2 linked regions of the Nothobranchius furzeri genome follow. The protein of the gene in region 1 interacts with the protein of each later gene in a biochemical or structural test. Links are inferred from orthologs where the notes say so. Each region holds a gene or a part of one and is shown in the gene's direction. Other genes may lie near its edges.

Region 1 (7,650 bases):
AGTGACAATGTGTAGCTTTTACTATTACTCTGGAAATATCCATTGAAATTTTGTAAATGAATTAAGAGATGCTCGGTTGTTAAAAAATATTGGCGGTTTCATGACAAATAACCATAAAAATCAGGTCTAAAATACATGGGAGTGGGTCTAAGTCTCTGGGCGACGCCATATTGGACGCCATGCTTCCTTCTACGGAAGCCCGTGAGGACAGAATGCATTTACTGATTTGAAACAAATGATTACAAAACTTTCAGCATTAATAAACATTGTTCTTTTACACATTTACCTCTTCACTCATTGCAAGTGATGAAAAGGAATCTGATGTTCTTGTTTTGCTGGAGGTAGCACTCCTAAGGATTTTTGACCCTAATGGCCACCCGTTGGTAAGGTCTCATTCAAACACAAAAATAATGCTTGCTTGCAATGATTTAGGTATCTACTGCCCTCTATTGCTGGGGAAAATACACACTGTTACTTTAAAGTTAATGTCAAAGGTCATGTGACAAGGGGAAAAAATGGCCTTCTGAAACCTCAACTGACCAAAATCAACACAAAAATAATTTCTAATCATGCATACTCGTCTGAGCTTGTGTACTCACGTCGTTGTGAATCATCTTCAACGACGGCCCAAGCCAACCCTGTTCTTGCTTGACCCATTGTATCAAGGATGCATTAATGTATCATTCTGTGTATCCCATAATGCATTGCACCGCGAACCATTATACTCTAAACGGCAGAGGAGAAAGCTCATAACTGTGTTTTAGATCAGAAACACAAATAAAGACATAAAGTTGTCTGTTATTGTAAATAATTGGCGGTAAAATTTGCTGTGTATATTTGGGTTTTTTACACGATCCCTCAAAATGCTAATTAGCTAACCCGCTATCAAAATAAAAGTAGGGTTGCCTAATAGCTCTGTTTTGATGAAAAATAAACATTTTTCGTCGTTTCACAGAAGGAAATGCTGGTATTTCATTAACTTTGATCAAAAGTGGACCAAAAATTATACAACTAATCAGTATTCATTATTTTCTTACTTCAGAGCCAAACTAAGCATTTTTTATTTCAGGTCGTTTTTTTTTTCACCATAGCATAACGCGGCAATTGTTCCCCGTACGGAAGGGAGTACTGCTCGGTTTTAAATGCCGTCCTGGGTAGAACTGACTTTCTTTAAAGGACTGTGCAAATCAACTGGCTGGAATCTTTACCTGGATCTTCAACCAATCCCTGTCCCAGGCTATTGTACCATCTTGCTTAAAGTCCTCCATCGTTGTTCCGTTGCCCAAAAAACCCCATGAAAAACAGCCTGAGTGACTTCCGGCCAGTAGCACTCACATCAGTTGTGATGAAGTGCTTTGAGAAACTGGTGCAGTCACATCATTGAGTCATGCCAGCAGACTTGGACCTCTTCCAATTTGCCTACGAGCAAGGAGATCTGCAGAGGACGCTGTGGCCATGGCTCTTCACACTGCCCTGACCCACCTGGAGCAGCAGGGGAGCTATGCCAGAATGCTCTTTGTGGATTTCAGCTCGACTGGTGTCCAAACTATCTGATCTGGGTCTCAAATCACCAACATCCAATTGGATACTGGACATTCTGGCAGGTTGCTCTCATAGGGCAAGGCTGGGTCCCCACACCTCAGCAGCTGAGTCTCAAGACCAGGACACCACAGGGCTGTGTGCTCAGCCCACTCCTCTAGACCCTCTACATGACTGCGTCCCCACCCACGAGAGGAACAAGATCATAAAGTGTGTGGATGACACAACGTTGATCTGGCTAATCTCCAGCAAAGAGGGTGAGCATTCCTACAGAGAGGAGGTCGAGCAAATGTCAGTGGTGCAAAGTCAATAATCTGCTCTACAACACCACGAAAACGAAGGAGCTCGTTATCGATTTCCTGGGGAGGAGGGCAGCATGGAGAGGTTTCTAGACATTAAGTTGGAGGATGACCTGACTTGGAGTGCAAACACCAAGGAGCTGGTGACGAAGGCGCAGTAGAGGTCGTATTTTCTGAGAATCCTGAATAAGAACCACCTTCCCACAAATCTGCTGCTTGCCATCTACCGTTGTTCCGGAGAGAGTACACTGACAAACGGACTGTGTGTGTATGGAATGGCAGCTGTACTTCCTTGGAAAAGAAAGCACTCCACAGGACCATCAGCGCAGCAGAGAGAACAATTGGCTGCACCCTTCCTACTCTGAAAGACATCTACACCCCCCCGTTGCTGCAGGAGAGGAACAGACATCTCAGAGGATCCATTACAGCCCGGGCAGTGCTCCCATCTGAGAGAAGATACAGAGCCGTCTTAGGATCAGCTTCTGAATAACCAACGCAGATGGGAACACTGACCACAGGTCAGCTGCACAGAGCTTTTATAAAATATGTGCAATCTGTATATACCTGCAGACTTTTTATTCTGGTTTTATCCCTTTTTTGATTTCATTGGTTTTATGCTTGTGAGTCAACCGCACCTTCGTTTGCAGTGCACCTGGAAAAAGTGACAATGACAATAAAGATGTGTCTTATCTTATCTTATGTGCCGTAGCTGATGCAACCATAAAGTATGTTCTCTACCAGAACATCCAGAACATCTGACCATGTGACCTTTGACCTTAAACAGGCCATTCATGCTGGAAGAGCTGCCAGTGTGGCTGAATTACAACAACTCTGTAAGAGACAAACATCTCCACAGTGATGTGAAAGACTCCTCATTAGTTATCAATCAATCACTCAATAAGATTTTATGTAGAAAGCGCTTCTCAAGCAAACTGCCACTCAAAGTGCTTTACAACATGACCCCAAATTCCCATAACAGTTTATAAGCATTAACAGATATATGCACACACACACACACACACACACACACACACACACACACACACACACACACACACACACTTTTTCTTTGTTCTTGTGCTATAAATAAGTGTTCAACTGGCTATCTTTGTAAATGCATTTTTTTGTGCTCAAAGGACTTTAACAGTGCGTATTTTAGAAAATATGACATCACACAAAAACTACAAAGTGAGCAAAAATATTTTTATGCTTATTTGTGTGTCACGTTGCGAGTCAGGAGGAGGTTTGGACCCAAAATGCAGACACCCAGAACAACATGAGGCAGGAGTGGATGTAAATGAAAACATTCCTTTATTAGGAAGTAGAACAAAAAATTCCAAAAGGGCAGGAAGCCAAAAATCAATGTCCTGAAACCCTGGAGAATGAAAGCTCACATAGAGCACAAAAGCTAGAGACAAGGAACAAAACAACGCTGACAACAATGGACTGACCAAACACTGTTACACAGACAGGGTTTTATACCTTGGGGAGGATGAGAGGGAGATGAACTGCAGGTGTGTGGGGAGAGAGAGACCAGGTGAACTGAGTTACTAATCAGGGAGGAAACTAACATGACCTAAGAATAAAACCTAAAGACAAGAAGAGTAGGAAACATAATCTAAGGGGGGAGAAAAACCTCAAACACCGATGGGAAAAACACACTAAAGAGACTAATAACATGAACAGCTGTAGCTAAAGGAAAATGACCTAAGGGAAAACCCTAAAGACCAGAAGGGCAGCAAACATAACTAATATTCTAAGGGGGAAGCTGAAACTACAGGAAAACACTACAGAAAGAAAAACTACAGGGACGTGACTAAAGGGGGCCAAGGGAGCACAGGACCTGGGAGGGGGATGCCTGAGGAGGGAAACCTAGAGGGCTGAAGATCTGGGGGCAAATGGGGAAAACCAGGAGACACAAGAGGAAGACGCAGACAAGGACACATGAGGGCGCTAGGAGACACAAAAGGTGAACCTAGTGAGGGACGGAGAACACAAGGAGACACATGAGGGGAGACGCAGACGCAGACCATGACATTGTGACACTCCAAGGCTGTGACAACTTACCCACAAAAAAGATCATCTGGACATAACACACCAAAAATGATTAGATTTTTTTTTACAGTTTTCAAAGTTCTAGTTATGATAATAAACCTGGCAATAAAGGGGTTAAATCTGAGGAACACACATATTTTATTATATTTTGTTAGGGCTGAAGCCAAGGATGAAATTCAAAAAAACTGGGACGTATGAAATATTAAATACTATTTCTATGGGAAGCTTTGTAGGTGCATTTTTTTGTGCTCAAAGGACATTAACGTTAGGAAATGAAAAGAAACGGCAAGGGTTAGTGAGAACTTCCTCAGCATGAGTGAAAAACCAGTAAACATGAAGCACCTGTGCAGCATTAGCATGCAACGACAATTCTGCTGAATGAATCGGTGGCTTTACCAACTCTCAGGTTGTGTGGGATGGAGAATGAGACGGTGGAGGACATGGATGTGCTGTGGGACAGAGTGGAGTGTAAGCGCTACGAGCTGTGTCGCGTCATCACCCCAGCCAAGCTTACCCCCTACCTCCGTCAGTGCAAAGTCCTGGATGAACAGGATGAGGATGAGATTCTCAACTCCCTGCTGCTCCACACCAAAGCAAACCGCACAAGTGAGCAGAAATCTCCATTTTCCTGCATTAAAACAAGCTGTGTTAACACTGGTTTGATTTTAACTTATTTCAACTACTTCTGCCATTAAATTAAAGACAAAGTTCACTGAGAAACAGATTGAAAATAGAAAAAAAAAACTGCTCGGCTTTGAAAACCCAGGCTAATTCATGTCATACTGACTATTAGCAATCATGGACTCACCCATCATAGCTTGCGACGGGGAAGACTGTGTCGATTTCCTGCCAAGGAGAGGGCAGAGTGTGTTATGGCTAATAGAAGCTAACCGTTAGCATTAGCAACTCCACAACATGGCAGAAATCATTCAGGTTTGTGTTGTTTGTGGAGATAAAACATCAGTGTTGCAGTAAACGGAGTCGGTGGTAGCGTCAGTAGCCAATCAGAAGCGAGGTGTCAGAATATCAGGAAACAACACATCAGCGTTGCGTGTTTTAGCTCAGAAAGAAGAGCGAACAAAGGCGGTGGAAGAGTTGTACATCTGTTAGCCAATCAGAGGCGAGATGTCAGAATATCGGGATATATGTCTCCAAACCCTACCGTCGTCTGCTCACCTCTCCTCTAGCTCACTTCTACTTCCTGAAACAGGAGTGTGAGAGCTTTTCCCCACAGAGATCGATTCACGGGACGTTAATTTATACTTGAGACTGCTGCAAATGTGTTGAAAAACAAGTGAACTTGGTCTTTAACTCGATGTGTTCCTGTGCTGAATATAAAGTGCACTAATCAAACTTGCACCAGGCCGTCTACTTGACATCCTTCGCACTAAAGAAGAGCGTGGCTATGTGGCTTTCTTGGAGAGTCTGGAGTTTTACTACCCTGAGATGTACAAGGTGGTGACTGGGAAAGAGCCCACAAGATGCTTCTCCACCATCGTAGGTAAGGCCCACACACTTTTGGGTTGACAGAGCAATCTAAGAGCATGTAACAGATCAAACCAGTTGCAGCGTGTGTTGGCGGTGCCTCGCCGGTAATGGTTGGGGTCAGATTTCTAGCTTTAAGAAGTGCATTTCTCACAAACTGTGATGCACCCATGTTCTCCTTCTGTTTCCTGTTTCTTCTAATCAGTGGAGGAGGGTCAAGAGGGTCTGACCCAGTTTCTGATGAGTGAGGTGATGAAACTGCAGCAGCACACCAAAGTCAAGACCCTTCAGAACGCCGAACTCAGCAGGAAGACCCGCACGTTGGAAGACGAGCGCAAGAAGCTCTCCTTGGCTAATCAGGAGCTTCAAGCCTTCCAGCAAAGTAAGATATTTGCTTTCATTCTAGCCGTGATTCCTGACTGATGTTTTTTTCCTGGTTGGGACATTTTATTACAGTAAATGCAAGAAACAAAACAAACAACAACAACAACAAAAAAAACACCATTTCAAACCACGACCCCACCAGACAGGCCAGGCTTATCCCTCCTCATGCATCACAGTTGAGTTAAAAATAATTTTAATCACAAAATGCAACTGATGAAACTAAGATACTGTTGTGGTTATGAATCCATCCTGTTCTGTTTATCTCTGCAGACGATAAAACAACTAAGCTGTAAATAAGGAGAATGGTTTTGGCTCAGTGGACCTTTCACATAGTCGTCATGCAAATGACAAAACTGGTAATTTCTTTTAGTTGATCAAAAAACTAATTAAGGAGTTGCAGGAACTCCGAGTATCATAGAACGGGAAACAAACGTCCTCATAGGCATTGCTGATTTCCAGAATTCTCTGTTTAGTTCCTGTGGGATTAAAAATGAGACAACTCTGTAGGTGTTGGCCACCAAATTGTTACTGAAATTACTAAAAAGAGAATCTAACATTCTGAGCATGCATAAAAAGGCAAGAAAGTACAATAAATTGGGAAAACGGAAGACTTAATAAAGATGAGAGAGTTGTCAGCCGTCTCGGACTTCATTCTCCCCATAATTAATTAACTATTGGTTCAAATCATTAATTCAGTTGAACAATTTTACCTCCACTACTACTCGTGCTGTATCTGTGGCTCCTCAAGGATCTGTCCTCGGCCCCCTACTCTTCATAATTTATGCCATGTCTTTGGGTCAAAAACAGTTATAATTTATAAGGTTTATAAGTTAGTTAAAATTACATGAGTTCATAGTTGGTTAAATATATGTTAAGGAGTATGCTGTTGCCTAGCAGACCGAGAGGGCAGAGCCACTAACAAATACACACAGGCTCACAACGACATTGTGACATCATATGGTACCAGCTAACGTTCTAGGGTACCTCTTAGCCAATAGCGATGGCAGATTTAAATTCAACTGCAGTGAAGAGTTTTTACCTGACAACGGCACAACACTGACAGTTTTAGGCAGAAAATTTAAGTTTTAACTAAAATGCACTAAAGTGCAAACCTATTGACTACACGTGTCTGCAGCACAATTAGACACACACTTATAGTTTATCAGAAAAAAAGGTGATTTGGTGGTGACTTGCTCTTTAAGCACCTGTTTAGAACTTTCAGAGATTTTAGGAATATTATTTGCATTGGATTCTTTATCTGTTCGTTACACTGCAATGTCATGTGTGCTGGCTAGCTAACTGTTTTAGTATAATGCATATTTAGTAAATGCCCTTTCCTTTTTTTTGTATGTTACAGTTACCAAACGAACAATCATTTGTGTGTAATGTAAGAAAGCTTCACTAAATCAAGAAAAACAAGCCTTGTGCGTGGAGTTTTCTTTCATGGTTAGCTAGCTGTCTAGCAGCACACAGACACGTGTTGTGAGGGCAGCATAATTTGACTGCCCACTTTGGGTTCAATCTTTCAACAGCGGTTTTTACTGTTACGCTGATGATGCTCAATTTTATATTTCAGCTGCAGCATCTACAATGATTCCACCTTCCTCACTCACTGATGCCTTGCAGAGATTAGGTCCTGGTTCTCACATCATCGCAAAAATCAGCCCTGGTATCCAGCAGCTTCATTGGCTATCAATAAAATTTACTCCTAACATATGAGGCCATTTACAAACACACCCCCTTATATGTTTATTTATTTGCCAGACGCTTTTATCCGAAGCGACTTACAATTTATAACCTATAGGGCATGTTGTGATCTGTGGGGGAAACCAGAGTACCCGGAGGAAACCCACGCATGCGTGGGGAGAACACGCAACTCCACACAGAA
Region 2 (7,650 bases), on another chromosome or scaffold:
CACTTTTGGCAGTGTGAAGGTGCAGATGGAAGGCCTTTGTCCGCTAAGACAAAAGGTTGCAGGTTTGAATCCTGGCTGCGACCTTTCAGTGTAGCTAGCATGTTCTCCACATGACAGTTTGAATTTTCTACGGGTCGGGTACTTCAGGTTCTTCGCTCTAGAAAAACAATGTTTGGTTAATTGGAAGTGTGAGTGTGCGTGGTTGTTTGTCTTTATGTGTCCCTGTGATGGACTGGAGACCAGTCCAGGGTAGGGCTGGGCAACAAATCGAAAATTTATCGTTATCGAAATTTCTGACTCTTATCGAGATGATTTTTCCCATGTCAATAAATTTGATAATAAAAAATGAAAAGATGTGTGTAGGTTGGCAACACTCATGACCCTTTAACTCATTCATTGCCAGTGACGACTAAAGTCATTTTTACTGTGTGGGCGTCGGACGAGCCCCCGCACCGTGAGAACAAACATCTCAGCTCTGAAGCCGATTTTCATCCGCGTACGTCACACGTCACATGATCAGGAAGCAGAAAATCCATGTGTTAGGAGATCGTTTTGGGCCGTTCCTGTAAAAAAAATGTGAGGTGCGAACCGGAAAAGCTTCTGCCGATCACAATTCAACAACGGATTATGAAAGAACGGATAATGCTCGAAACACGCGGATTCTTCCTGATGCAAGAGGTGAGGCTCCGCTTTGTTTTGGTTGTTTTGGCGTCGACATCATCCTCGCGCGCAACGTTCTGACACTCTTAAAAATAAAACAGTAAAAACTGTGAAAAACGCTGGCAACGAAGGGCTTTAGCGATCAGGAAACGGCTGGCATCAAATGAGTTAAGAAGCTGTACCGCCTTGAGTCACGTAAAAATGTGACTCAACGTGATACATGTGACAGCCCCATCTAGTGGACAACCTTTGTATCTGCGTATACCAGTAGTTATCGTCCATTTATCGTTATCGAGGTAAAATCCTCAATATGTTGATTTTAGACCATGTCGCCCAGCCCTAGTCCAGGGTGTCCTCCCACCTCTCGCCCAGTGACTCCTGGAGTTAGATACCAGCTCACTGCCAAACTATGGAATAAATATTTCAGTAGATGAATGGATGAATGTACTCTCAGTGGCCTAGTGGTAGAGAGTCCGCCCTTGGACTGGGAGATTGGACTTCAAATCCCAGTTGGACCACACCAAAGACCCATTGCCTCCTTGCAACACTCAGCTTTAATGGGTTGGATTGGGGGGTTAAACCACCAAATAGTTCCCAAGTGTGGCCACAGCTGCAGCTCACCACTCACCACGAGGATGGGTCAAATGCAGATATGAATGTTACCAGTGTGTGATGACTAATGGGACTTTAACTTTCCTAATTATCGTTATGACTTGATTACACATAAACAGAGTTGTAGGAGCCCTGAAAAGGTCTTTTTAGATAATGGCTAAAAAGAAACCTTGTTTTTTTGTGGAGTGGTTAAAAATGGTTTAATGAAAGTTTTATGCACATATTCCACACTTATTGTTGATTTTGTGCATATTGAGTTCCAGCACCACACAGGTCTGGCATAGTCACTAAAGTTGTTTGGGTTGTTTTCAGGTGGATTGACTCACACTTCCTAAGTCCTACTTACTTGTTTACTTACTAACTTCCTTACTCACCTAACTACTCGTAAACTCACCTGAACACTTTCTTATAGCTACTTAATTACTTACTTTTCAGTTTTATTTTTAACGCATCCGTTTATGAATGTTCAAAAGAGCAGAGCAAACTTTTTTTTTAAGTGAATGAAGTCTAAATGACACTCTGGGTCAAAACATCTTGAATGTTGCATGTGAAGGTTACTGTGTGATGCACAGAGGGCTTCTCTCTGAGCGCTTTACCAGACAGCAGCTGGCAGGGCTGATGGATGGGCAGGCGATGAGCCGATGATGGAGAAACCCGCAGGTCACTTTGAGAGGAAGAGCTTAGCTGGTTTTATTGTTGCAGTGCTGGGAGGCCATGTGGCTTTTATGCAAGCGGACCAAAAACGCTGCTGGGCTATAACCCTGTTTATCTGTCACTGGTTTGATGGATGAATTTTCAAAGTGTCAGAATGAGCTTGTGACTCGTGACCACACAAGTTTTTCATAAATTACATTCATAATTTGGTTTAAATGCCATGAAGTAAATAAAAAAATTACCACGATGCACCTGTTTCAGGAACTAGCAGAGTGCCACATCAGAGTTGAGCAGAACACGACAAGATTTGGAGTCTTACTTCCTGATATATGAACATCTCTCCACTGATTGGCTAACAGCAGCATGACTCTACCACCGACTCTGTTTGCTCTGCAACGTTGATGTTTTAACTCCACAAATAACACAAGCCTGGAGGAGTTCTGCTGTGTGTTGGAGTTGCTAATGCTAACGTTAGCTTCCACTAGCTGAAACGTTCTCTGCTGTTTCCTGGACGCTAAACCAACAACAGCCTTCCCCGTCGTGAGTCCATGAATGTTAAGTGGCAGTGTGACGTGGATCTGTCGGGCTTCTCTAATCCTAGAGTTTCATCAGAAGCTAAAGCAGGAGATAGGTGTAGGAGACTATTTTCATGTTCAGCCTGAATGAAAAACTCAGAGTGACCCGTTATGATCAGAAATAACAAAAAAAAAAAAAGTCAGTGTTCCACACCTTCAAGTGGAAAATATGTGAAAATTTTGTTTTAAACAAATCTGGACACTTAATCTTTTTATTTATATATATATATATATTTTTCGTTTTTAACTCATGCTGGTTGTTTTGGTCAAATTGTACAGAAGCATATCAGAGCAGGGAAAAATAAAGAACATTCTCTTGTATTAGAGAGAACATTTCTTTTATTATTTAAAGATAATAAAGCACATTACTAAGCATCTCATCAAAACAAGTTTAACATCTCGTAATAATGCGAACACTTGTAGGTAAAACGGCGACATTTCGCGGGATGTTTGCTCCTTTTGACAAGTTATTGCTTGTTTTCCACACTGATGGAAAAACACTTCTGTAATTATGGCAGTTTCTGTTTAGCAGAATATAAAATCTCGGTAACACTTAAGTTTAGGGAACACAAATTAACCATTAATTAGCTGCCAATTAAGAAACCTAGTGAACTACCAAGTCTGAACTAGTCATTATTAAGCACTTATTAACAGCTTATTACTAATGCCGTAATTCTAACATTAACAGGCCATGAATTAAGAGTTTTACAATAATAAGCCATTCATAATGGTTTGTTAACTGAAAGTAAATGGTTTGTTGCTGATTAACGTACTAATTAGCTCAAATCAATATGTGGCTTTTAAAGAAGTAATTCAGGGGAACATATTCTTGCCTTTCAGTGTTTAATTAATACAGAACTACTAGTAATTAGGTATGAACACAATCTGACTTTAGAATGGGGAACATGTTCTTGCTTTCAAGTGGTTAATTGATTGTGGCTCTATTATGTTTATGTTTATGTATTTAGCAGACGCTTTTGTCCAAAGCGACTTACAATTATAATCGGCATGTTGCCCTTGAGGTTAAAAACAACAATAACAACAACTTCTTGACATAAATCATGGAGAGGAGGGAACAAGGAGTGGACAGTAGAGAGGGGGGACGGGTGCAGGGAGGGTGCTAGTTTAGAAGATGCTCTCTGAAGAGCAGGGTCTTCAGGAGTTTCTTGAAAGTCGAAAAGGAAGCCGCTGCTCTGGTGGTGCTTGGAAGGTCATTCCACATTTGTGGAACGATGCATGAGAAGAGTCTGGATTGTCCTGAGCGTGGTGTAGGCACTGCTAGCCGACCATCCTGTGATGACCGGAGCGGCTGGGCCGAGACGTAAGCCTTTGCAAGAGGATTCAGGTAGATGGGAGCCGTACCATCTCGGACTTTGTATGCTAGTGTTAGCAATTTGAATTTGATGCGTGCTGCTAGCGGTAGCCAGTGGAGCTCAATGAACACAGAGGTGACGTGTGCTCTTTTTGGCTGATTGAAGACCAGACGCGCCGCTGCGTTCTGGACCATTTGAAGAGGTCTCACAGTACAGCCTGGAAGACCAGTTAGAAGAGCATTGCAGTAATCGAGGCGGGAGATGACAGTAGATTGCACCAGGAGCTGGGTGGCATGTTGTGTTAGGTATGGTCTGATCTTTCGTATGTTGTACAGCGCAAAGCGGCATGAACGAGCAACAGAGGCAACATGATCTTTAAAGGCCAGGTGTTCATCAATCACAACACCCAGATTTCTAACTGCCTTTGAAGGAGCCAGAGATAGGAAGTCATGTGAAGTTTGTTGTTCATGTACATAATACCAGAACATAATATTTTTGGTTATTAATGCAGAATAATGATTACCCCTGAATTACTTCTTTAAAAGCCACATATTGATTTGATCTAATTAGCATGTGCGTTATAATCAGCAACAAACCATTTACTTTCAGTTAACAACCCATTATGAATGGCTTATTGTGATAAAAAAAATCCTAATTTGTGGCCAGTTAATGTTAGAATTGTGGCATTAGTAATAAGCTGTTAATAAGTGCTTAATAATGACTAGTTCAGACTTAGTAGTCCACTAATATGCATATTAATTGGCAGCTAATTAATGGTTAATTTGTGTTCCCTAAACTAAAGTGTTACCTAGATTTTATTTGTGCTTGTTTTTACAGAAGTAGAAACAGAATATTTGTGTCTTTGGATTTAGATTTCTTTCATGTTTGTCTCTGTAGGTTTTACTGAAGTGAAAGTGAAATCTTAATTCCTGCCTTTTGCTGAGTTCTGACAGTAAGGACGAGCTTTCTCGTTGCAGACAAAGGTCAAGTGTACAAGCAGAAGAAGCCCACCATGTACCCACCGTGGAGCACCACCTTCGATGCCCACGTGCACCCCGGACGCATCATGCACGTGATGGTGAAAGACCGGACGGCAGAGCTGAAGTCGGAGGCCACAGTGGCTCTGGACTCACTCGCCACGCGCTGCAAGAAGGAGAACGGCAAGCTGGAGATCTGGGTTGGTGCAGCAGAATCTGAGTTTTTAACACATTTGATAAATCCAGATGGGTTTGCTCACGTTGGGATCAAAAGGTCAAATGATGAAAAGAGGGTAATCCTCATTTTAGGTATTAAAAGCAAACACATCATCACTTTATCTGCACTGCACAGACATAAAGAGGTTTAATCCACTATGTCAAGATCTGTCAACAACATGAGATTATTCAGACCTGGAAATCTGCCTTGACTTCCCTTTTCCTGTGAAACTAAGGACACCGAATGACTCAAGGATGATGATTCACTGTTGAATGACAAGAATTAAACTTCTAGTGAACAACCTACACAGCGATTTTAGGAAAATGTAAAGTGCATCCTTTTTTAACACCTTGTCAGGAATATTCAGGGGTCAGAAACCAATTCAGTTTATTTCTATTGTGCCAATTCACAGAACAGGTATGGATTCACGTTTTACTAAACGCCTTTAACCGGTTATTCACGCCCCCTAGGGGCTAGTTGTCTGGGGGGGTTAGCTGGAATCTAACCCCCCCAGACAACCCAACGATATCTCAGATTTATAATACCATACCATACCATAGTTTATTTATACAGCACGTTTAAAACGCAGCATGGGAGCTGTCTAAAGTGCAGCACAGGCTAAACCAAAACACAACCACTCTAAGCACCTAAAGCAGAAGATAAAAATACCGATCAAAAGCAGATAAAACATGAGGAATACCAACAACACAATAAAACACTAAAACGAGTCTGAAAGCCACGTCGTAGAAGTGGGTCTTTAAACGAGATTTAAAACCCGCCAGTGATGGAGCCTGCCAAACTATAATGGGTAACGAGTTCCACCGCTTTGAGGCAGCATGTACAAATGCTCGTTCACCCCGTGATTTGTATCTCATCCGGGGCGTGCACAGCAGCAGGAGGTCAGCCGACCTCAACGTGCACGTGGGTACATAGGGAGTGAGCAGGTCAGAGAGATGGGGAGGCGCCAGGTCGTTGAGTGCTTTAAATACAAAAGTCAATAACTTCAACTGTACTCGGAGAATGACAGGGAGCCAGTGAAGAGGTTCCAGGACAGGGGTAATACGGGTACGTTGGTACGTATTTGTCAAGAACCTGGCAGCAGCGTTCTGGGCGACCTGCAGCCGATTCAGGGCAGAGACCGGAACACCGACTAGGAGGGTGTTTGCATAGTCCAGGCGAGAGGTAATGAAGGCATGGATGACTGACTCAAAATGCCTCCGTTCCAAGATTGGTCTGAGGCGAGTCAGGCGGCAAAGCTGATAAAAGCAAGACCTCACTACGGAGTTTATCTGTGGGGCCATTGAGAGTTCAGCATCCAGCTTTACCCCGAGACTTGTCACACACTGTTTGGGGTTGAACGTTAAAAGGTCACAAACAGGGTGAGAGCCATGATGGTTGCGGGGGTCAAAAACAATAGACTCGGTCTTCCTTTCATTTAACTTTAAGAAATTGGATGCCAGCCAGCCCTTCACATCGTCTAAACATGCAGCCAATCGCGAGCCCGCAGTCTCCTCATCCATTGCTGCATATAATCGACAGTCATCAGCGTAAATGTGATAGCTCAGGCCGTGCTAATCTGAGTGATACAGAGGTGCTTCTGAGCAGACCAGAGCGTTCTTAACACACCACACACGGCAAGAGTACCTGATGAATTCTCTTGTTCTATGATATCTTAGAGTCAGTTAGCTCGTGAGCAGCTTAATGTTGCCTGATGTTGTTGTTGCCTTTAATTATTTCTGTTTTTTCTTTTCCTAACGGTGTATTAATGTTGTGTTCTGTTGCTGTAGTGTGGAAGAGGGACGTCAGATCTGATCACATGACAAATTCAATCTACAGATTCAACAAACCTTCAACCGTTAGAGCTGTTACAGAAGTCAGACTTATCTTTAGGATTGTCGGACGAAGAATCACGTCAATAATCTGCATAAATGTGTGGCCTGTGATCTGAATCTAACAACTTTAGCCTGTGGGAGGAAACTGGAATACCCCCCATGTGCTGGGGGAGAACCCAGGGGGCCACAGACGGGACTTGAACCTGCAACCTTCTTGCTGTGAGGCAACAGTGCTGCCACTGCTCTTCCTATTCTCACTCACTAACTATAATGTTTCAGATGAAGACAGGAGTCAGGCACCTCTATAAAGGTTGTGGAAAATCAACATTGTCAGCAATCGCACAGCTCACCTAACCAAGAGTCCAAAGTAAATTCTGTCAGCAGTAAAGCCTTTTCCTGTGGAGCTTGGCATTCGGTGCCTACCCGCAGCTGTCTTCTCTTTCTAACCCAGAATCAAACAAACATTGTAAATAGAGGACTAAAATCAGCTCCACGTTACTCCTTCTGTGGGTGTTTTCTTTTGCCAGCTGCTGGCTCTGTTTCAGCTCAGCATGAGCCACGTCCTTATCTTTTAGATTAAAGTTCTCTCTTATTTTTCTCATTCGTTTGCATTTTGTTTGGTTCCAGCTGGAGATGAAGCCACAGGGCCGCCTGCTGATGGAGGCCAAATACTATCTGGAGAAAAGTGGTGAGCGATGCAAACGAAATGTTGGTTTTATTCATATTCAGTGAAATTATTAGAGCTGACGTAATTTTGGTGTGAGATTTTTGTTTTGGAATATAGAAAAAGAATCTAAAGGAATTAGATCA

What was found. The genes of interacting proteins can lie anywhere in the genome.
Region 2: of the proteins of card11 (region 1) and prkcq, one has a biochemical effect on the other in vitro, tested with the Homo sapiens proteins (2 studies listed by BioGRID). The link is inferred for Nothobranchius furzeri from reciprocal best matches to the Homo sapiens genes CARD11 and PRKCQ.

The regions. Positions count from the first base shown.
Region 1 is NC_091752.1:65,220,673-65,228,322, reverse strand, and holds part of card11 (caspase recruitment domain-containing protein 11), read left to right. Parts: intron 1-2,267; exon of another isoform or gene 2,268-2,356; intron 2,357-4,116; exon of another isoform or gene 4,117-4,299; 5' UTR 4,300-4,309; coding exon 4,310-4,499; intron 4,500-5,256; coding exon 5,257-5,394; intron 5,395-5,583; coding exon 5,584-5,760; intron 5,761-7,650. UniProt on the Homo sapiens protein: Adapter protein that plays a key role in adaptive immune response by transducing the activation of NF-kappa-B downstream of T-cell receptor (TCR) and B-cell receptor (BCR) engagement.
Region 2 is NC_091741.1:35,672,841-35,680,490, reverse strand, and holds part of prkcq (protein kinase C theta type), read left to right. Parts: intron 1-4,791; coding exon 4,792-4,991; intron 4,992-7,467; coding exon 7,468-7,528; intron 7,529-7,650. UniProt on the Homo sapiens protein: Calcium-independent, phospholipid- and diacylglycerol (DAG)-dependent serine/threonine-protein kinase that mediates non-redundant functions in T-cell receptor (TCR) signaling, including T-cells activation, proliferation, differentiation and survival, by mediating activation of multiple transcription factors such as NF-kappa-B, JUN, NFATC1 and NFATC2.